3 linked regions of the Lytechinus pictus genome follow. The protein of the gene in region 3 purifies or fractionates together with the protein of the main gene of each other region. This does not show direct contact. Links are inferred from orthologs where the notes say so. Each region holds a gene or a part of one and is shown on either strand. Other genes may lie near its edges.

Region 1 (7,330 bases), on a different chromosome or scaffold from region 3:
TCCAAGACAGCAAGTGAAGACCCTGTCGTCTAAATTCCATTTGGTGACACCAGATGACCTGATGACATTACTTAAAGTTTGTTAGAGCTCTATGAAGAATGACCTGGCTTTTGAAGTTCTTGCATCAACTTTAGCACAAGATATTTTGAATATGTAATGTCCACTCATTGTATTTAAGATGTATTATATCAACTCATGTGTGGATGTTCAACTGTTATATTGTCTGTATCATATTAGTCATATATGTAAAGATCACTGCACACCTTATGATTGGTCTGTGACCCATTTTGGAATAAAACGTAAGATTAGATGCAAATAATGAGACATGAAACATCTTTCTTTGGAAAGTTCTTAATCCTCGAAGGAATACTTATGCTTAAAATCTGTGACAATGCTACCTTCCTAATGAGAATAGAAGAAAATTCAATATTTAATCATAATGACATCTTAACAGTCGTTCGATCGGCCTTGATATGAAACCAATTTGGCCTCAACTCCAAAGTAATGGCTTGCAATCATCCAAAATTGTTATTATATTAGTATTCTACATTTACTTTGAACCTAAAGAAAGTATATACCTATTTATCATTCACTTATTGAGAAAATAAACAAAAATGCAATTTGTTCCAAAATTGGATCATAGACCAGTCATAAGGTGTTCGGAGACCTTTAGAGAGATTAGTTTAACCAACAGATGAGAAAAAAAATATGTATTTAAATATTTTTTCACATCCAATACATTAAAAGATATGCATGGAAGTCGAAGTACACTACAAATACTGCATGTAGACTCCTTTTTCCTATTTTGTTTTTCTATTCTTTTCAGTTCCTGCCCTTTTTTCTTCAGGTGAAGAATGGTCATTGGCTCAGGCTAGTGGTTCTTTGAATCTATGTATTGCTCTTTTTTAAGCAGGAGTTAGATTTAGTTATTGTGCATGCATCCAGCACCTAGTTTACTTAGTATTCTATTATCCTTGAAAAATAATTGTAATTCCATTTCTTGTACATGTGCAATTCATCAATTTTGAGTGTTACCACCTGAGTATACTAGATTCGTAGAAGTTACTATCAAGTGTATCTAAGCCTGTCATCTAGTTGCATGTTGTTTTAATATGCTACTTTCTGTATTTATGTATTGTTATGCCATGTAGGTCTTTAATTGATTGGAGAGTGGCATCCTGTGTTATGTGTAGAATATGAGTCGTGAAAGGGGGACAGCTAATGTTTAATTATCAAAGCATGACAAAAAGCATGATTATTATTGCATATTCCATATTTGTTCACCATCGTAATCACAGGTGTTTTGTTTTTGTCAGCCCTTGTGCAGAGGGAAGGGGGATATTGTGTCATGAGATAACATGGCACAAACCTCTTATGTTATGAATGTAGTATTATGGTAAGTGTTTGCCCCCCCCCCCCCCTCTTTCATGATGGGGTTCAGGAACCATGTATGTGGTGTATCGTATCAAGGTCATGTATCTAAATTTGATTTGTTAATATCATAAATTAACTTCTTCATATAATGTAGTAATTTGTTTGAGGTCAATATAACTTGTATCCTCAAGATGGGGGTTTTGTGTGTGTTATCTATAGAACCTAAAAAAATTGCCTTTAACTTTTTTTGAGATGTTTCAAAGGACCAGATTTGAGCAAGGCCGTACATAATTTATTTTTTTTCCCTGGTGGGACACGACGCATAAAGAATTATGGGATTGTAGGTGACCAAGCTTATCATTTGGGCATGTTTACATCTTCTAAAGTGATATTGAAGGATTTTGTGTGCACTTATAGATCATTTTGTGGAAATTCCCGGTAAAAAAAATGTAAGTTTTCAAAATTTCTGGGGGCAATTGCCCCCTATGCTGCATACAGCCTTGGTCATGACTAAGTTTCTGAATATTTCTATTAATAAACAAGTTTCTCCTTATCTGCTAACTTAAAATATGAATGTAGAGGTTAACAACTCAAAGCAGAGTGGGAACGGGTCTCGGTATCTGTATGAGTAAAAGCACAGAGGTGCCCATTCCAAAATTTAGGACGCCTCTATAGTATCAAACGAATAAATTCAAGGGACTCTACATAAACAATAGAGGTACATTGAAAGTGTTTTGTATTTTGAAAGCATGGAAAAGTTAGTCTGATGCTTTTATTTGCTTTGTTAAAAATCTTGATGTTCCTTTGAGCTTATGAAGAGATGGTGTAGTGGTCCACCTGCACTCCCCCCCAATCAGTTATATCAGGAGAGACCTGCGGGTCATAGTGATTCAGTTCACTTTTCGCCTCCCAGGCACAGGTGACGCCAAACAAATAATAATAATACACTGTGGATATGTTTCATAAAGCTGTTCGTGAGTTAAGAGTAACTTTAAGAGCGACTGATGATCCTTTCTTACGCGCTAAATAATCACCAATGAACATTTAATGGTGAATATCATTTACCACAAGAAAGGATCACCAGTCGTTCTTAAAGTCACTCTTAACTTATGAACAGCTTTGTGAAACGGCCCCCAGTATACTGTCATTTGGGGTGTTCAAACATTCTGTTGCAAAATTCGTTTTTGAGGCCAGCACAGAAAAGGCTGTATTATGGAAATATTACAAGGGTAGCAACCATCACATGTCTGAATTTCTGAAAACTGTCTCCCAATCCCTATAGAGAACTCTTTCTAGGCATAAAAGTTTGCCACTGTATCTATGCTGAAACGCTAAAATCAATCCTTCTTGAGCTGTCCTCAAAATGTTTGAATTTCAAAATCCTGGCGATGATGATGATGTTTTTTATTCAAAGAGAAGGAAATGTTAAATATTTATAAAAGAAGATACTTAAATCATGTTTGTAATCAAGTAGTAAGGACATTAGCTATTATATTTTTATATTATTTACTCTTAAAGGGATGAATGTTTTCTTCCCATGTTCTTGTATATGCTGTCATTTACCTTTTGAGAAGATCCATAGTATATGTAGGTAGTACAATGTAAATGTATTGTAAATGTATTTGATCTTGTACATATTGATCATATAAAATAAACATATAATTATCACAACACTATAAGATGGTATGATTTTTATTGTAAGTGTAGCCTTGATAGCATAAAAAGCCCCGATGGGACAAAGTAATCACATTGAGGGAATGGGATTGATCTTTTATATGCGATAATGTGAATGTGTGCTTGTGGATGTCCAATATTCATCATGCGATATATTTTAATTGATATATGAACCATCTTCATTTTATGCATAATGACCTCAATTTCAGATTATAAATAGTGACCTTTAGATTTTGAAAAAAAAAATGAAAAGAATGAGGGAAGCACAATATGAAAAAAAAGAAACACTAGAAAAGAAACACTAAATCAGGAATTAGAAAGATATAAGAAAAAAAATGAAAATGAAAAAGATATTAAAAATAAAAAATAAAAAGATTAAAAAAAAGGATTATCCCTCTACATTAATTCTATTTCTTTCTTTTTCCATTCAAACTCTCACCCTCTCTTTGCTTTCACCATTTCTCCTTTTTTTTAACTCTTATCCAGCTTTTTTTTTCTTTCTTTCGTCCATCCGTCCATCCTTCCTTTCTTTCATTTACACCTGCATTTATTAATTATGTCTTCAAATGTCATTTTTATTTGTTATTTGTTGAACTGTATTTTAATGTTCGTGTTCTTTTTAGCACCAGCTAATGAGGAGAGTCTTTAATCAGAAACTTGATGTCTTTTGATAATCCCCAGGCATTAGCTGGTGTTCTTTCCCTTTTTTTTTTTCACACTGATATTGTATGTTGGATATTGTATGATTATTTTCAATATACTGAAATTGACTATTGTTATGAGTATAATGCCATGTGTACCTGAAAATGGAATAAAATACATGAAATAGATAAAAGGGGTGTTATTTGTGATAGCCACCCAAAGTGAAAAATACATATATATTAGGGTTAGGATTTTATCTTTTATCTTTTTACTTGCACTATAGTTTAGTTTTGTTCAACTGCACCAAATGTCATGTGTTTTTGTGATTGCGGCCTCAGCCAAGTACGACTATACCATACTCTGTAAAGAGGACTGTACTCAACGGAAGAAGAAGGGTTAGAATAGCTGTTGCATAAGGAATTCTTTCCAATAAAAGTTTTCAATACCATATAGGTAAATGATTAAAATGAAATAGATATAAAATAAATAAATCAGAACGAGTGGAAGTTAATGCTTGCCAAATAAACTGAAAGGGAAAAAAGAAGAGGAAAAGAAAGTTCTTCCAAAAAGGAGTGCTAGCGCCATCTGCGGCGATTATCATATAGTCAACATTTGGAAACATGGCGAAGCATCATCCAGATTTAATTTTTTGTCGCAAACAGCCTGGTGTTGGTAAGTTAACCATCGATAATTTGAATTTTCAAGGGATGGGTGACTTCTTCAATTTTCAAAGTAGTAAATAAAAAGCAACAGATCTACCAGATTTATCAAATATGCAACATTAACCATCGAAACCGAAACGTTTAATCATCGTTCAAATGACTTCAGTCCGATCCCTTTATTTTGGATGTGTGTTTAATAAACAGTTTACGGCGGCGGCGTGGGGGCAGCGCGCAGCGCTAGGTTCAGTCCTTTCAGTTTCAGCTTTCGTGTCCCAGTCTAAAAATAAAGCGGTGTGGACTATGGTATGATTGCTATCCAGGTGCGGGTCCATAGGAAGGGGGCCGAGGTGAAGAAGCCTTGTCCCCCCCCAAAAAAAAAAAAAGCTAGGCTAGATCTAGCTCTAGGCTAAAACGGAGAGGGGAAAAAAAGGGGGGAATAGAGAAAAACAAGAGAAATGAAGAAAGGAAAGAAAAGAAAAGGACGGGGGGGGGGGGAAGAAAGGAAGAAACGAGAAACAAAGTATGAGATGAAAGGGAGGAGAATGAGAGAGAAAGAAGGAATTAGAAGAAAGCAGTGGAAGGGGAAAAAGAAAAAGATAACAATGACACATGAAATAAAGATGTTGTGTTTTTAATCCTCTCTTTCGCTATTGTTTTTGTATTGTAGTTCACACAATTTGCCCTGTCTAAAAACTCTAAGCTTGCTGGAAATTCCTTGAAAGATTTGGTCTCAAAATGATTTTAACCCAAAATTGTGAATGGTTAGCCTCAGAGACATTGAGAAAATGATCATCAAATCTGAACTTTCTTAAAAATGAATTAAAAAGAAGTTTGTATTTAAAGACAAAGTTCACCCTGATAATCTTGATGACAAGTTGGTTTTAATAAAGAAAAAACAATTGAGAAGGTTTGATGATTTTTTTTCATAGTAGGATATCCCAATCATGTAATATGATTCCATAAATTTCAGTTTTGTTTTGGAATATGATGAATAATTTTTGGGGGTTGCAGAATTAGAAAGGTTATAAAATGTGTCTTCCTGTCTGGTGATATATCTGCCACACAACTAAAATCAATTAAACTTTTTTTAGATAATCGAAATAGCATTTATGTGAAATTATATCATACGACATATAAACGAGCTGCTCATTTGTGATTTTACTAAGTCAAAACTTTAAAAATTCAATTCTCGGGTTTTCCTTAGTCAGATTTTCATCAAACTTTCACTTATACAGGGCTCGACACTAGCGCCGGTCCGACGGTCCCAGACCGGTAAAAATCGCTGTCGGGCTAGTAGATTTTCAGAAATAGGAAGATTTACTGGTCCGACATGACCAGTAAAAAATATCATTGTCGGGCCAGTAATTTTTCCAAAAATAGCAAGATTTAAGGGTCCGACATGACCAGTAATAAAAACCATTGTTGGGCCAATAACTTTTCCAGAAATGGTCAAATTCACTGCAAACCATTTCCCCCCGTAAAATTATGTCATTCACACACAGAATACACACAGAATGAATCGCACGTAAGTGTTACTAAAGTAGCATACAGTGTACATGTAGCCAGCCACACAACCCACGTGGTAAATTCTCTACTGGCTGCGCGAAGGAAGCTTGGCTAAACTCTGGCAGAAATCTCTCACAGAACTGTCAAAATTCACGATTCATACTCATGAAAGGCTCTTATAATGTCCATATTTCCTAAAAATTGGAGTAACTCTGTAATTTGTAAGCAGTAAAAGGAGAAATTTTCACTTCTGTTTTGGTTCAAACAGATCGGGTTTCGGGTGATATCGTCTGAATACATAATAGCCCCACATATGCATTTATGTGTGTGTTGATACACTTGGTTTCTTTCGTAGCTATTTTAATTGAGCCAAAAGAAACTGATAAATTATTTGATAGTTTTAGCTTTCTTCCTCTGTTTTCTTCCTATCTTTCTTTCCTTCTTTCTTTTTAAGCTTTTTTTGTTTCTTCCCTCTCTTCTTTCATTTTTTTTGTTACTGTCTTTTTTTAATTTCCCCTTTTTTCCTTTAATTTGTTCTTACATTCTTTCTATCCTTTCAAAAAATATTTTTCTCTATTTCTCTTTTTTTTCTCTCTCTCTTTCTTTCTTTCTTTCTTTTTTTGGGTGATATTTTCCTTTCTTTAATTCTTGAGTCCATCCATCCTATATTCATCTCTTCTCTTCTTCCTTTCGTTCCTTCCTTCTTTTTACCCTTTTCTTTCCTTCATTCTTTGTTACTTTCTTTGTTTCTTTCTTCCTTCCATCCATCCATCATTTATTTACCCTTTCTTGTTTTTTTTATTTCTTCCTTCTTTCAGCCCTCTCTCTCTTACATTCATTCCTTCCTTCTATCTGTCTTGTTCTTTCCTTTTTCCCTTTGTTAAATCTGTCCTTTTACCTTTTCTTTTTTGACTGCTTGCTTCCTTTCTCTCCTTTATTCTTTCATTCCTTCCTTTCTTTGTCTCTCAGTCTTTCTTTTTTTCTCCCTTTCATCTTTTCTTTTACCTTTTATTTTCTTATATTGCTTGCTTCTTTCCTTCCCTTCCTTCCTTTATTTCTTTCCTTCTGTCTATCATTTTACCTTTCCTTTATTTCTTCCTTAATTCCTTTTTCCCTTCTTTCAATCCTTCCTTCCTCTCTTTCTTTCTTTTGTCCTTCTTTCCATCTCTCTTTTTACCCTTTCTTTTTTATTGCTTCTTTCTTTCCTTTACTACTTTCTGGATTTGTTCTTTCTTTCTGTATTGCTTGCTTCATTTCTTTCCTTCATTTCTTTTTTATTTTCTTTCTTTCTTTCTTTCTTATTTTTGTTCCTTCTTTATTCCTTCCTTCCTTTCCTTCTTTAGTTCTTTCTTTTTTTCCCTTCCTTCACATCTATCCTTTCTTTACCCTTTTTTTTTTCTTCCTTCCTTCTTTCCTTCCTTCCTTCCTTTCTTTTATTCTTTCTTTTTCTTTTTCGTTCTTTCTTTCTTTCT
Region 2 (7,815 bases), on a different chromosome or scaffold from region 3:
ATTAAATATGCAGAGAATATAGACTTCGAAGGAGTGGAAGTGACGGTAAGAAATAAGATTGGAAAATGCAGAGAAATAATTAAGTATAAGTTGATCCTCCACAAGATTTGATTCAATCCTCACTAGCAGCTGGATGAGATGGTCAGCATGAGTGGACAGGACGAAGGCAGAGAGTAGAGTGATGATGTGGTAGAGAAAACAAGTTGTTTTTACCAACATCAGAAAAGATGAGACAAAGAAATAAGCGTCAAAAAGGGAGGCAAAACAAAGTTGAAAAGAACAAAGAAGAGAGAAGCAGACTGTGAGAAAAGCAAACATGCAAGCATCTTGTAGTGATGTTGTATACCTGCAAGTTCATTGTAATAAACAAGGAACAATGAAAGGATGTTTGCTACAAGTCTAGGAACAAAAGAAAGGTTGTTTCTCAATATAAGAATGTGTTTGCCAAGTAGATTTGGGCAGGAAATGGTCTTGCTCTGTGAATGTACAGTATTGTAGTACATACACATGGCGTGAACAAGTGAGAATATATGAAATTTGAAATAAAAGAAAGAATTTATATACATATACAGAATGTTGAAATATAAATGAAAATATATACAAGGAAAGAATACATAGATGTAGATATATAAAAAGATATAGTCAAGTCACTACAGTAGCTCCCCCCTAGATTTGTACCGAATAGAAATGTAGTAACAAATCGACAAGGGAAAGTAAAAGGGAACTTGGCTATATAAAACAAGAAAATAAAGGAGTGGAAACATCCGTGAATTTTGAGAAATGTTTCAACCGTCTCCGAAAAATTGAACGTACTTGGCAGGAAACCTGACATGGCGACCAGAACGGGTCTTACGAATTTCGGGAGGCATATGCTTGTCATCAGGATCCCCTGCCAAGTCCGTGGAGTTGGATTGTTGATGAACTTGGTCAGGTGGATCTTGATGATGAAATGAAGGAGCGGTAGCCTCCTGCTCGATGAAAGCCGGTTTCAGTCTGTCGACACTGACATTTTCATGTTTACCATTATAATCGATGGTAAAATACTTGTCAGTGCGACGGATGACTCGGAAGGGTCCTCTGTATGGAGGTTGCAATGGCTTTGTAACAGCATCATCTCGTAGAAAGATGTGAGATGAAGAATGCAGTTCAGGAAGTAGATTTGGGCAGGAAATGGTCTTGCTCTGTGAATGTACAGTATTGTAGTACATACACATGGCGTGAACAAGTGAGAATATATGAAATTTGAAATAAAAGAAAGAATTTATATACATATACAGAATGTTGAAATATAAATGAAAATATATATGATGGGGTGTCCAAACTTCGCGCACTTTTCAAAAATATTTATCAGGCTTAAATTTGTTCACAAAATATTCATAATTTATACAAAACCAATTCAAGAAATAGTTACCACATTTACGGCAAGATCGTAAACTGCAAAATCATGGACGAAAATGTAAAGTAGGTCAAGGGGATTCGCCGGTATCGCGATCTCAAAATTCTATTCTGATCGGCGAATGCGCGCTGTGCTGGAAAACCGTTCAGAAAAGTGTGACCTAACTTCGCGGAGCAAAGTTTTTGTGGACATTTAAACAAAAACTCAAGCTCAAAAAATGAAATATTTATATCAGATTGATGGCAAAATGCTATAGAATCGGTTAGTACCACATTTAACTCACATTTTTGATAATTTCTGCTTGCAAAATGGTGATATCGTGATGCTTGTTGAAAATATCAGATTTCTTCAAAACGGGCGCCAACAGTGACAAATTTGCCGATCTTTTGCCAATATTTTCATGAATACTGAACTCATCCTAAAGAAACTTACACCAAAGGGTAATTTTAGGTCGCTTTTCACGTTGATGATGTCAGATTTTAAGAATATTGGCTAGTTTTTTAGATAATGACCGTCCGCGAAGTATGGACACACGCGAAGTTTGGACTCACTGCCATACAAGGAAAGAATACATAGATGTAGATATATAAAAAGATATAGTCAAGTCACTACAGATGTTTGATCGAATTAAAGCTGTCGAACACCGGTTTTCAAAATAATCGATATGAGTGACTCAGGCTTAACGCTTAGTAAAAATAAATTTTGTGACCTCTAACGTTATACTAACCTCGTACTAGTGTGAGTGGGCCGCCTCTGGCTCTCCAGTTCATTTCCCATCACCGCGCCGTCTACTCTTTATGACTTGCCATTTACTCTTACTGCAATCTTGTTATGAAACGCTATATGTTTACACTGACGAGCGCACTCAATTGGAGTCGGCATATGAAAGTTTAGTTCTATTAAACTTGGCCCTTGGGCGTAGCGTACCGGTATCTTTAGGCAAAGTAAATGTCTTTCTTTAACGTTCTATACATATTCACACACCTAGATAACTGAGGTTTGACATAAATATTAAAATATAATTGGATGTAAAGCATACATACCGGTAATTTGGTTGATCTTGAAGACGCTTTCGAGCAACTCGTTCGTGCTCGCCGCTAGCGCCGCCTGGACTGAGATCCAATTTTTTGTGATGTGTCCTTAATTATTCAAACAAAACTTCAAAAAAAACAGAATTTTGGGTTCCAGAATTTTACATTTATTTTTGCATCTTATTACATTTTGAAATATAAAACAAAATATTTTGATATTATTCAGGTAAAATTCATTTTTAAATTATGAAGAACAATATCATTATATAGCCTTTATAGGGGAAGCAGCAGATCAGACACGACGGAATGTAGAGCTAGCTCTCGATCTCGCTAGCTCTCTCCAGCTCCCAGGCCCAGCAGCCAATATATATCGGCTCGACCGTCTAGCTGTGACGACTGTGACATGCAGGCGCTAGGCACTGGCACTGCAATGCCAAAGGCTAAGCTATTTAAAGTCACGAGCTAGCTGACTTTCGTTAGAAAGATCTGAGTTAATGGTGATTCAAATCATGGATTGTAATGCATACATTTATTTGAGTGTCAAATTGTGAGTAGACGAGATATTATTTCATTTCAAGTGGAGGGGACATATTGAGAGATTCTGAGTAGGCCAAGTAACGAGTAACGGCACGTTATTTAATTTAAGTCTACACTATGTACTAACGTAGAACTGAACTTTAGCGTCTTCATTTCTCTGCTTCTATCTTTTGATGACCAATATTTTCTCATTTTTTCTTCAAGTTAGTATCAATACCCTTTCATTTTGACAAACTTTCAGTCTTTCAGTGAAAGACGTCGACACGCATGTCAAAATCATGTGTTCAGATCAGCTGCCTGAAAATGAAGCTGACGTCAATTTTAAAGTCTTTGTTACTTAAAAATTAAAATCCAATCATTACTCAAAAGTCAATACTTTGATTTGATGTGGAAGAGAATTATTTCCATTAGGCCTGTGCTTCATGCTCAACAAATTTTAGCATTATCACATCCTTTTTATGAGCCTTTATCCCATGAGTAATCCTATTGTGTGTTGACGTGTCTCATGAGGCTGGGCCGTTTTTCTCCCATGTACTGTATCCCACTGCTGCCACCAAATGTGGAATGTGAAAATGAGCTGTCTGCAGTTGTAGTGCAAAAATAGATAAAAATTTCTAAATAAAGCTAGGGGATTTTATCCAATGCTTTCTCTATTGGCCTACAATACATCAGGGCCCTGATTTTTAAATAGCGGGTGCTGACATAGACAGGAATAACCGTCGTTTCTGGGGATTTATTCAACAATTTCTGACATTTTACTGTAATCCCCATGGAGCCAACGTAGTTCAGCGGAACAACCAAAATACAGAGACTGAAGCTTTTGGTCTAGTGCTGACACTGCTGTACTGGGCCGGGGGGGGGGGGGGTTCAGGGGGTGTCTTTAGAAAAAAAAAGTTGAAAACCAAACTAAAGGGGTTATTTAAAAAAAAATTTTTGCTTGCTTGTCAGCCTGAATTCCATGGGGTTCTGCATATGGTAAATAGCTGCAGCCCCCCCCCCCTGGAAAAATGTGGGTGCTTCAGCACCCAACTTCCCAGGGCTATGCTGTATATTTTACATTTCTATTCATTGTTATTGAATTGCATATGAACAAATATTATGATAGCAGAATATGTTGGGGTTTTAATTTGTTTCTTACTTTTTCATCGACAGAGAGTTTGAAAGCTCACCACCAGTTATCGAGGAGAGGATGTTTGAGGTAATTGTGAGTTTGGCATTAAAGCAACTTCATGGTGACGTTGGAGTGGCAATTCTGGTAGATCTTTTGATGTACGATCCTGAAAATATTCAGGGAATCCTTAAAGTTCGTCAGAGGTGTGTATCTAATTATTTACCATTTTCTTAGAGAAACCAAGAAATGTCCAAGAATATCCCTATCCCCCTCCCCAACTACCCCCCCCCCCCAAAACAATTCAACCTGGCCAAGTTGCACTGGTAGAATTCAACACATTCAGTCGTCCACTAATCCCAAACTATGTGCATGCATATCTGGAATGTGTCATGTAGAGGTCAATTTGGATAGTGACAGTGGACGTCAGTGGTCTGGCTCAACCAGCCCAGAAAAAATCTGACCACCACTCACAAAAAACACTGCTCCCATCCACCACTGATTTCAAATGAAATAATTGCACACCTGTTCATATCCATCTTTAATCTTGTTATTTTTGCATAATTTACATTATTTATTCTTACATGTGATATTAGTAGGCCTATATTTTCAAAGAGTTGTTAATTTAAGATTGTTATTACATTGATGTTCCTTCACTTTTGGCTTTAAATAAGACTGCTAACTCAGCCTGAAAAAAACTTTGTAATGCTGTGAAATAGCGACCACCACTAAGATGGGTCTAGCTAGAACACTGATTCACATTCACAAACAGAAATTTGTATGAGGAAAATTATATATTTGAATGTCTGCTGGGGAGTTCATATTCCAAAATGCCATTTTGTATTAAATCTAATCAAAGTATCTACATTAACTTTGTGTGGATTCTGGGTTTTTTAGTTATAAATATCTCGTCATGAATTTGAGTTTATTTTAATAATAAAAATTCATCATGCTCAGAAAGTTTTGTCTTTAAAGCTAAATGATAGTAGTTGCAGTAAAACACTAATTTCGTGAGAAAGTCTGTAAAACCAAGGTTAAGTATGACTATATCACCGTGGATCTAGATCTGGTACAGTTACATAAACTGAACTTTGTGAAATCATAAAATCTAAGCTGAAATACGATCACACTGAAGATCGCCAACACAGATAGGCACACGTGGGACAGTGTATTATTATTGCTGGAATAAAGACCCGACGGAAGTGACAGAATCCGCGCTTATTTTGCTAATTTCATAGCAATTACACAATTTCTTCCAGAATCCTTTGGCACATATTTTTTATTCATACAAACAGACACTTAGGTGGTCATTATATTAGATTCTGTAAAAAGTCATTTTGAGATCGTCACCAGAACTGGAATTTATCTTTAAGCTTTGACATCATAATATTAATAAGATGATAAATCATCCTCATGCACCTTACACCAATATACAAACATGTACCAAGTGCATTGGAGGTGTAGTGCTGGCACATACTTTATTTAATTCTATTAACTTTACCTGGGATTTCCAAGAAGTTCCCATTCACTTATAAAACTAATTGGTATGTTATTATAAAATACTGTATATGTATCAATAGTTTTCATTTATTTTAAGTACCCCATTCCTGCCCCTAAAAGGAAGTACATGTATATACTGCAACTCAAACTGAAGTTTGTTTATTAACCATTCCTATAATCATATATTCCATCTTCACTACGTTTTTGTCTGTTTATTTAATGGTTTATTACATTGTCAATGGTTCACAGTCCCGGGGGGGGGGGGGGCCACTTCCATTCACGAGTGGATACCATGCGCGACCATGGGGTCTCGAAAAGCACCCTAAACACGTAATTTCCATATTCTGAAAATGCACCCCTTGACAAGTATTGGCGTGTGAAACCCTACCCTAACAAGTATTGGAAACAAAAACGATACTCTTGGCAAATATTCCCTGAAATGAACCCCTAAATAAATACAGGAATGTTTTATTGTTACGAGTCCTTCGGTCGTCGGCTTTACCTTATTTTGGTTTAGTACGACCCCACCTTCTACACCTCGCGCAAATCGGACTCTAAACACGAAGTGTTGGGTCAAAATGGACATCCTTTATAAAACATTTTAATTTTGTTTTATCATTCCCGCAAATTCGACCCTAAACACGTAATTTTCCTAGCGAAATAGACACCCTTTTTTCATTATTTTTGTGTTTTTGACAACCTTATCACGTTACGTACGTAACGTGCCCTATCGTGAAAAGGACATCCTTTTTACGTGTTTTTTTGGTCGCGCATGGTATCCACTCGTCAATGTAAGTGGCCCCCCGGGTTCACAGTACTACTATGAAAATGAAATCATCTTCAAATTCCCAAAACACACATGACATCTTTTAAAAAACAATAAACATACAGCATGTTAAACAAATTGTATACAAAATGCAATAACCATAAATGAATCAATTTTTTTCTGAATTAATTTGTATCACTGTCATTCAATGTCTTTTATTGTAAATGTCATAATTATCTTAATGTTTGAAAGTTTTTAAAGTGAACTGATTGTATTCACATGTTTCTTATTTTCCTATACGGTGGCACAGAAAGGCTGCATTTAACACCCATCATGAATTATTCTGGAAAGGAGTATGGGTCTGGTCTTCTATAAAGGACCTACATACTAGTATATTTTCATTTTCAAGGTTTTGGTACCAATAATTCTAGGAATAATTTTGTTCTGTGAAGCTTTCCTCTGCTTTCTATTTTCGTTAAAATCAAATCAAACATTCAAAGGATACGCATGTAGCTATGCAGTACATTAACTTAACATGATTTATTTTTATTCAGTGATTTGGTCAAGCTCTGGAGTGCCTTGACACTTTATGGATGTTTTGAAGACCAGAGATGTGCTTTCATTGCACGAAAGGTGAGTCATCTGCACAGTTGCCTTTGTACTCTTAGGTTACATATATACATGTTTTTATTGTCTCGCCTGCATAGCAGAGCGAGACTATAGGCGCCGCTTTTCCGACGGCGGCGGCGTCGTCAACATTGAAATCTTAACCAAGTTTTTGAAATGTCATCATAACTTAGTAAGTATATGGATCTAGTTCATGAAACTTGGACATAAGGGTAATCAAATATGACTGAATATCCTGCCTGAGTTTCAGGTCACATGACCAAGGTCAAAGGTCATTTAGGGTCAATGAACTTAGACCATGTCGGAGGAATCAATTTCAAAATATTAAGGTCCAAGGTTAAATTTTGAAATGTCATAACTTTGAAGGTATATGGACCTAGTTCAGAAAACTTAGACATAAGAGTAATAGTGTATCACTGAAGATCCTGTCTGAGTTTCAGGTCACATGATTAAGGTCAAAGGTCACTTAGGGTCCACAAACTTTGGTAATGGGGGGTATTTGTGGAATTGCCATCATAACTTTAAGTCTATGGATCTAGTTCATGAAACATGGACATAAGAGCAGCAATGTATCCCTGAATACCCTGTGTGCATTTCAGGAACATGGCCAAGATCAAAGGTCAAACTTTGGCCACGTTGGGGTTGTTTGAGGAGGAATTGTCATCATAACTTTAAAATTGTATGGATCTAGTTCATGAAACATGGACATAAGAGCAACCATGTATCCCTGAATATCATGAGTTTCAGGTCACATGAGGAAGGTCAAAGGTCACTTACGGTCAAAGAACTTTGGCCATATTGTGGGTATTTGAGGAATTGTCATAACTTTGAAATTTTATGGATCTAGTTC
Region 3 (8,276 bases):
CTTCCCTTTGGTACTGTCCGCTGACAAATGTCACAAGAGCGACAGAAACGAGTAACATCGGCATGAATGCCGGGCCAGATGAAACAAGTTAAAATCTTCTCAGTGGTTTTGCCTATGCCTTGATGCCCACTCATTATTCCTTCATGAGCAAGTGACAACACAACTTTCCTAAAGAGCTGAGGGACTACCAATTGATTCACATAATTACCTCTCTCATTCTTAGGTTGAAACATTCTGTACAACAGTCCATCATCTACTACGAAATAAGTGTTCTTCCTATCATCATCTGACAAACTAACTTGAGCGAGTTCTCTCGCTTTCTTCAAACTAGGATCCTTTGCACTTTCTCTTCTAATTTCTTCAGGAGAAACGTCTGGGATCTGAGATGGAACTTTCAAGGGCCGCTGGGGGCGTCGAGCTTCTCGACTCTGAGACCTTGTCTGTACAGCCAGGCCTACATTAGTACCATCATCACAATTAACTTCAACTCTCTCATCTTCAGAATTAGAGTTACCATTGGAATCTACATTCCTAACATGACCTTGAGTACTATCATCACCGTTAACTACTTTTTTCCAATCTGGATGGGGATTACTCATGGAATGGACACCTTCAATGTCCCCTATTATAACGTCAAAAACTGGTGTCTCTATACACAGTGCTTCTATTGTACCTACAAACAAAGGGGAGCTAATATGAACATTAGCAGTAGGAAACCTACAGAGAGTGATCTATCAAAACACATTGTCTATATTTACCAGTAAGTTGATCTGACCTCACAAGACTTTTCTTAACCGCAACACCGGAACATCCTGAATCATAAAGGACATCAACCTTGTGTGATCCAAACCTACCTTCAACAACAGTTAACTTACCATGCCAACGACGCTGACATGCAGCACACATCATCAGTGATTTTTGTAAGGTATCTCTAGTAACTATCTCTGACTTATCTTTCTCACTAACTAAAGACATTAACAAAAGTCCAAGTGTCTCACTTCCTTCCATATCTGGACTAACAAGCGAACAAGTTGCACAAGAATCTGACCTACTATCAACTGCCACTTTACTATTTGTTTCATACTGAGTTGATTCTCTTTTCTGATTTTGGCTACTACTTTTTGAATGATCAGTACTACAAATTAGACTTGCACCTTGTAATTTGGAGTTACATTTAGCTGCTAAATGCCCCATCTTGTTACAGATGAAACATGGACCAATTCTTTTCCGTTCAGGAGGCGGATTTCTTAAAATCCCCGGACTTGTCTTAACTTCACTTGGGACCTTTCGCAATCCTCACGGACGCTAATATTAGGGTCCCCTAACACAAAAGTTAACGCTTAATAATACACTTGATTTTTAAGATTGATTGTGCATTATAGTCAATAGAATCAAACGTAGAAAACTGCTCTACAATCAATGCCAAGCTTTGTGTTACAGGGGGGTTACAGGCCCTACAGATCTGCTTTTCGTGTGCAAAATCCTTTTCCGCGACACCCGCACCATACATGTACATGCATGTATATTACGACTAATGGCTGGAGATATTCGAAATGCAGACCTAAAATAGATTATGACATGGATAAGAAAATGGTTTTTCAAACAAATCGAGTACATATTGAGTGAGGAAAAACTTACTGAATGAAGGCTTAGATATAGATCATTACAGTCCATCGAATCGATATTAGATTTAATGTGGATTATTGGTGTATCACTGGCAATTGATTTCATGGGTCAGATCAACCTCTCCAGTCTCCAGCCGAACATTTCGCGTGAGTTGATATGTGCACACCATATGCAATACGTTTGAACTCGATCGTTTCTTTTTGTTTCTTTTGTTTCTTTTGTTTACTCCTTCTACACAAACGATATGCCTCTCGCACACGATGTAATGGGCATTATGTTTTACTTCCCCCAGAAATGGGGGATTAGATTCAAATTCCGGGGGGACCACTTCCATTGATGAGTGGATACCAGGCACGACCATGGGGTTTCGAAAAGTACCCTAAACAAGCTGGGAAGTAATTCTTTTCCAGATTATGAAAATGCATCTCTGAACAAGAATTTGGCTTGTGAAACCCTACAAGTATTGGGTATATATCCCTTTTTTGTCAGCATTTTAAACATCGTTTTGACACCCTTATAACGTTACATAGGCCTATACGTAACGTACCTGCCCACTCTGTCCCCTTTTACGCGTGGTCGCTCCTGGTATCCACTAATCAATGGGAGTGGGCCCCCGGGCGGCCTCTCGAGCTCTAGGAGGAGTCAAATGTGGCTTTGGAAAGTCGTCCTCAATCGGATATATCGCTGTTACCATAGTAGCAACCAAAATTTTGCACACGAAACGCATATTGAATGTTTCCGTCGCAGATGCGAAACGAAAAAAAAATCTCATGTCACACAATTTGCATTGTAGTACAGAGTTTTACACCCATGATGACGGGCCCAAAAAGTCTCTTCCAAAATCAACTAACGTCGTAAATAAGCGTGCGCGTCCTCAAACGAAAGGTCGGGACTGTCTGACTGAGGGTACCTACTACCTTGTGGCTTACCCTTCTTATCATTCTTATCTTTTCTGGTAATTCCAAAGTGACCACTATGGGCCTCTACATACGTGTCTGCTAGACTAGTCATCTCTGAAATATTCTTAGGTTTCCTTTCCTTCAGAAAAAGACCTAGAGAGGTTCCACCTCTCTCAACCAGTTGTTGTTTGAGTAACATTTCTACTACACCATCGAATGTACGTTGCGTACCTGACAGATCAATCCAACGACTCAAATAATGTTCTAACCGAACAACAAATTGACTTGGGGTCTCCCCGGACTGTGGATTGGAATACCTGAACTTTTGACGAAAATCGTCACAAGTAAGTTCAAACCTTAACAACAATGCTTCCTTGAGGGCATCATAATCTTCAGCTTTATCTGCTGGAAGTCTTGAATACACATCGAGTGCCTTACCTTGCAAGAGTGCACTTAAACTAATGGCCCAACTACTTCTTGGCCATGACTGAACCTCCGCATACTTCTCAAACCTTTTGAGATATGCGTCCATATTATCTTTTCCTTCAACAAAATGAGGGAGTTTAGGGGTTGGTGCCAAAGTGCGACCGTTTCCATTACCATTATCAATCATACTATCAGACCTACTCTGGCTCTGAACACGAGCCAATTCAAGTTTCATCTCCAGAATTTTTTCTTCCTCTTTCCTAACTTCTCTATTAGCCCTACGTTCCTCTCGCTCTAATTGTTCCCTTTCTCCTACAAATGAAAGAAGCTCAGGCCCTGACAGACCTAATTCCTTACCAATCTCAAACCACTTAGTACTCATGTTTAAATGTTCAAACTACCCCTACCTAAGTCAAAGAACTATTGAGTAACTATATACTATATCAACTATTTCTTATAGGGGTGTTTGATAACTTGTGTGGCACAATTTTCATACATATTCAATTTTGCAACTCACCGACAATCCAAAATAAACCTTTACTCGCACTTGACCTTGCTGCGCATGCTCGTCGCTAGCAGGAGTGTTGGTGCACTGGATGGTCCTTGGCCCACTGACACAAAGAACTTGAAGGATTTCGGCTAAATTCTGAAAATTGAACAGAAATTTGTTCATAAGTACGTATCACAAATTTTGCGAGGGGTCATGTCATCGACCAATTAAATCTTATGTCTGTTGACCAATAAAGACAAACAGAAAATCCTAGACAATCAAATCCTATACCAATTAATTCAACCAACAGGGTATGTTATGGCCCAAACAACTCGGACAAGCCCCCAAATTGTCACATTGTGTTTGATGTGAACTTGACTTATTATTCTAATCAGGCTGTTTGACCACCCAAGAATTAAACTATAAGATGAAATTGTACATTTCGATCAAAATGAATTTATTATATATATCAATATTGCCATTATCGAGGCTCACAAGCTGTCAAAACATAAAGATCAAGAAAACAGTATCAACAACGTTTTGGAACAATCTGTCTCAATTCAAATTAGTATAATCTAGACAAATTAAGTTAGTATTGTGACCTGCAATTCCTATTCAAGGAAAGAGCATAAACTCTGTGTTTATGAAAACAATCTATATAGTATACGTATACCGACTGTGGGGAAAGTTCAGTTTCTCAAGTCTTCACTCATCACCCGTTGTCAGACGTCAAATGCATCAATGTCCAAATTGATCATGCGATGCTGAAGAAATGTGCCGAACGGAAGACGATATGGGGATGAACTCGCGAATGCGATGAACTAACCAAGAACTCGGGACTTTCCGTAGAGAACGTAGCAATCGTAGAACGTCGTAAGACGTCGAAGAGGCCGTGAACGTCACAAGACGTAGGACGTAGCTAAACATTGCCAAACGAGGAGAACCATGGCAATACATGGAAACGTGGAGACACGTGGTAAAACGTCAAGAGACGTGGATAAATCATCGAGAAAACGGCCGTCTGGAAGAGAATACGCAAGGATTAACAGCCTACAGTTCATATCATTTCTGTTATTCAAATGGTTTATAATAGAATAAATGCTGAGTACATTCAAGCAGGTCAATGAACTTTCTATACTTGCTTCCGAGTACCTAATAGCAGTGTCCTTACTCATATAAAAGTCACCACTCTCGTAGTTAACAAGTGTTTAAACAGAAGCTTCGACATTTGTATAAATAGACTAATTGTCTTGATAAAGGACAAAATACCTTTCAAGTTTTAAATATTAGATAATTAGGTCACTTCCTAAAACAATCATTTCATGACATGTGTTAGACATATAAATATAATATCTGATATCTTACATGTAGATGTATGTCTCATATCTTAGTCTTCAAATAGCATAATTATCCTTCATCATGTTTAATTGTAATACAAATCAACATCACGGGTTCTAAATATAATCATAGCTTTTCATAATAATATGGTAAAATAAAACATCAACTTACAGTCTGGACCTTGAATTCCAACCAGTGTACCAACCACTGCTGGCTTACATGCCACTCCAAATATCAAAGGCGTGGCACCAAAGTGCTGGCTTTCCCAGCCAAGGAGCTGCTGAAAGATGCTGCTGCACCCTATGCTTGCTTATCTGCAGTCTGCTGAACATTTGCTTGCATAGCCCTATGCAGTGCACACACACAATAGCTATCAAACACAGTGAGGGGTTGCCTACTCTAGCAGTTAGGTTTGGTCTATTCATAAACAAATTAGGGAGTTACTCAACCAAATAGGCTCTTCCACTGGCTAGTAAAGGGGAGTTTGAATAAGCTTCTGACAGGTTCATGTTGATGAATTCCCTTTTTTGTGGGAAATTCAACCTTTGCTGGAATTTGCTTATATTTAGCCATCATGATTACTTTTTTTTTTGGTAGCACAAAGTTGGCAACTCTGTAAATAAACATATCAATTCAAATCCAATCCCAAATATTATGTGAAATGTAATTTCATATTGAACTGTTTTCTCTTTCTTTCAATCCTATAGAAAGTCGACTATGTGACCTACCTTTCCATTGCTGATCGGCTCTTTGAAATATCAAAGGATAAGAAGAATGCGGAATATAGACGGTAAGTCTATTCCTGTTGTGGTAACAATCATTCAATGAATTCTAGAGAATCCAACTAAATGAAGAAGAAATACATTTTTTTCTCATTCATCCATGCTCTCTTACTCATTATCCTTCTGTCTCTCCCTTTCTTTTTCTTTCTCTCCCTTTCTTTTTCTTTCTCTATCCTATGGTAAAAAACCCAGCTTGATTTAGGTAATGATTCTCCATTGTCCATGTGATCATTATCAATATCCAGGGATTCCTGCCAGTTTCCACCCCTCCCCTCCCCCCTCTCTCTCTTTCTCTTATTTATCTGTATTATGATATAAGAAGGCCCATATTTCCATGCTGATTACCAACATTCTAACTATATCTTTCTTTATGTCCTATCCTAGGTATCTGGACCTAATACTAAGTTATCTGCAGGACTATGCGTCAAGGGTCAAACCAATCTTGGACTTTGCAGAGGAACTAGATAAGGTCAAGAAAGAGTTTGATATTCAGTGGGAAGCAGGTACTTTCCCTGGCTGGCCGGTGAGTCATCTCATGTGCTGTGGTGTTTTAGAAAGAGTTGGGTGTGGTTGAAAGTCATTTCAATATCCTCTTGGTTGTCGTATACAACCAAGTTCATAGGAAACATAATTTTCCAGTCCTCCCTCAAAGAAGTGGAGTACAAGAAATGCAGTGAAAATCTTGAGTACCAGTATGAAAGCAATATCCACTATGATACAAGACAGGAAGATCTGCTAATCATACATGTTTGCAGTGTTTAGTGTGTGTTTTTCATGCTTTATCTTCATTCAGCTTTGCCTGTAAAATGGAAACTGACTTTTTTTCTGAGATTTTTACCATTGCTTTATCATACATTTTATATGTCTCACCAAACAACAAGAAATCTATGTATTAGAAAATTGGGGCCTGTATTATAGATGTCCTTGAAGTCCAAATTAGTCTTGTGTGTTTATTTTCATTTGTTATATGCAGAAAGAAGCAGCGAGTGCTATGACCCATGCTGGTGCTCATCTTGACCTGTCTGCCTTCTCATCATCAGAGGTAATCTACACCTAGATTGGCTTCCTCTCAGATAGTCTACATGGGCTGAACATAACTTTATCTTACTACCTAATAACAGTTTGGTTCAACCATCATTTGGCTTACTTCCTAGATAGTCTATTACAACATAGGCTAAACCCATTATATCTACTACCAATTTAACTGCCATTTGGTCTACACTGCACTTGATCCAATACCTATTTCATCTAATCCTCATTTAGTCCATTTCTGGTGGGTTTATAAATTTCCACTTATTCTACTTATATTTTACTTTTTTCAAACTGAAAATTTGGTTCATAGACTGGTCATCTAACCCTATATAGGCTAAGTGTTATTAGACTAAGTGGATAAAGAACAAAGTGGATATAGCCTAACTGAAAATAAGACAATGCAGTAATTGGGCTTGCATTGTAATTAGCCAAATTTATTAGTACTTGAACTAGTTGAAGACAAAGCTGGTCTAGACAAATTGGTGATTTACTGTGAGTTTTCTAAGGAAAGGGGAAATCCCTGGGGTAAGTCTTTTAAATGAAAGGAGAGAGTAAAGGGAAGCATTTTTTCCCTGAAAATTTCCTTTAGAATCGGTGACAAAATGAAAAACCTGTGAAATTTGAAGACTCGATTTACTTCCTCTGGCAATCCTCAAAATGGCAAAGTTGGAAATGGCCTGTTGCCAGAGCAACGGCTCTTTCACCCAAGAAAAGTTGCTTTATAATGACAGTACAAATCTCAATATGTTTTGTACTCAAATTTTATAGTTTCTCCTGTTCTCCTTTACTGTATATCTAAAGATTCTGCTTGTACTTTTGGTGAACTCAACTTATATTGTGTCAAATACATTTACCCATGACATAAGTGGTGCTAAAAAGGAGACCAACTACACCTTAATTAAGGGAAATTTTGTGAAGGAAAATATGGAAAGTTGTACTACTAAACCTGTTACTTTAAAGCAATATTGCCTAGCTGAGGATCACCATAGAAAGCATATTGAGTACAAAATATGTGGAGAGTTGTACTATTTAACCTGTCACGTGATGGGATAAGCAAATTTGAGACTTACATTGAACTTTTACTCTTTCACGTACAGGAGTTGGCCTCGCTTGGTCTTGATCGTCTGAAGTCAGCCCTGATGGCGCTTGGGCTGAAATGTGGTGGGACCCTGGAACAACGAGCCCAGCGTCTCTTCACTACCAAGGGGGTCCAGCTTAATGAACTAGACCAGGCCTTGTTTGCTAAGAGTAAACCAGGCAAAGGAACTAAAGCTGGCAAGAAGTAAGTGTCCATTGATAACCTATGTAGCTTGCCTACTGCTACTTATTACCCAAATATAGAAATCATAACTAATAAAGAGCATTATAAACCTCTCTTTAAGAATGTCAAATAATCTTTTCCTCTTTTCTTTAAGAATGTCAAATAATCTTTTCCTCTGATTGGTCAAAAGTGGGGTCATATATTTGACCATGCCTGCAAAACAACAGACAAATGTGGTTACCAAGGGCAACGAGCATAGTTAACAAGATTTGTGCCTGTTGCCCCCTGATTGCCCCCATTAGCATTGGGCATAAATCAAATTTTGCTGAGAACACCAGTTAATTGCGTGCGAGAAATTGCTTTCTGTGGTGATTGCAGATGTCATAATATCAGCACGATTTAGATGATAATTTTAGACAACT

What was found. The genes of interacting proteins can lie anywhere in the genome.
Region 1: the proteins of splicing factor 3A subunit 3-like (region 3) and PHD finger-like domain-containing protein 5A purify together in Homo sapiens (affinity purification with mass spectrometry; 3 studies listed by BioGRID and IntAct, with this or other methods). This does not show direct contact. The link is inferred for Lytechinus pictus from reciprocal best matches to the Homo sapiens genes SF3A3 and PHF5A.
Region 2: the proteins of splicing factor 3A subunit 3-like (region 3) and splicing factor 45-like purify together in Homo sapiens (affinity purification with mass spectrometry; 4 studies listed by BioGRID and IntAct, counting the BioPlex papers as one, with this or other methods). This does not show direct contact. The link is inferred for Lytechinus pictus from reciprocal best matches to the Homo sapiens genes SF3A3 and RBM17.

Annotation. Positions count from the first base shown.
Region 1 is NC_087254.1:7,084,663-7,091,992, reverse strand, and holds the start of PHD finger-like domain-containing protein 5A, read left to right. Parts: upstream 1-4,259; 5' UTR 4,260-4,310; coding exon 4,311-4,362; intron 4,363-7,330.
Region 2 is NC_087247.1:38,896,516-38,904,330, forward strand, and holds the start of splicing factor 45-like, read right to left. Parts: upstream 3,072-7,815; 5' UTR 2,975-3,071; coding exon of another isoform or gene 2,922-2,974; 5' UTR 2,440-2,921; exon of another isoform or gene 2,436-2,439; intron 1-2,435. Other genes in the region: ribonuclease P protein subunit p14-like, read left to right, coding at 2,922-2,974, 4,117-4,278, 6,893-6,971. UniProt on the Homo sapiens protein: Splice factor that binds to the single-stranded 3'AG at the exon/intron border and promotes its utilization in the second catalytic step. Involved in the regulation of alternative splicing and the utilization of cryptic splice sites.
Region 3 is NC_087248.1:31,928,956-31,937,231, reverse strand, and holds the start of splicing factor 3A subunit 3-like, read left to right. Parts: upstream 1-5,127; coding exon 5,128-5,184; intron 5,185-5,486; coding exon 5,487-5,569; intron 5,570-5,945; coding exon 5,946-6,084; intron 6,085-6,534; coding exon 6,535-6,603; intron 6,604-7,690; coding exon 7,691-7,875; intron 7,876-8,276. UniProt on the Homo sapiens protein: Component of the 17S U2 SnRNP complex of the spliceosome, a large ribonucleoprotein complex that removes introns from transcribed pre-mRNAs.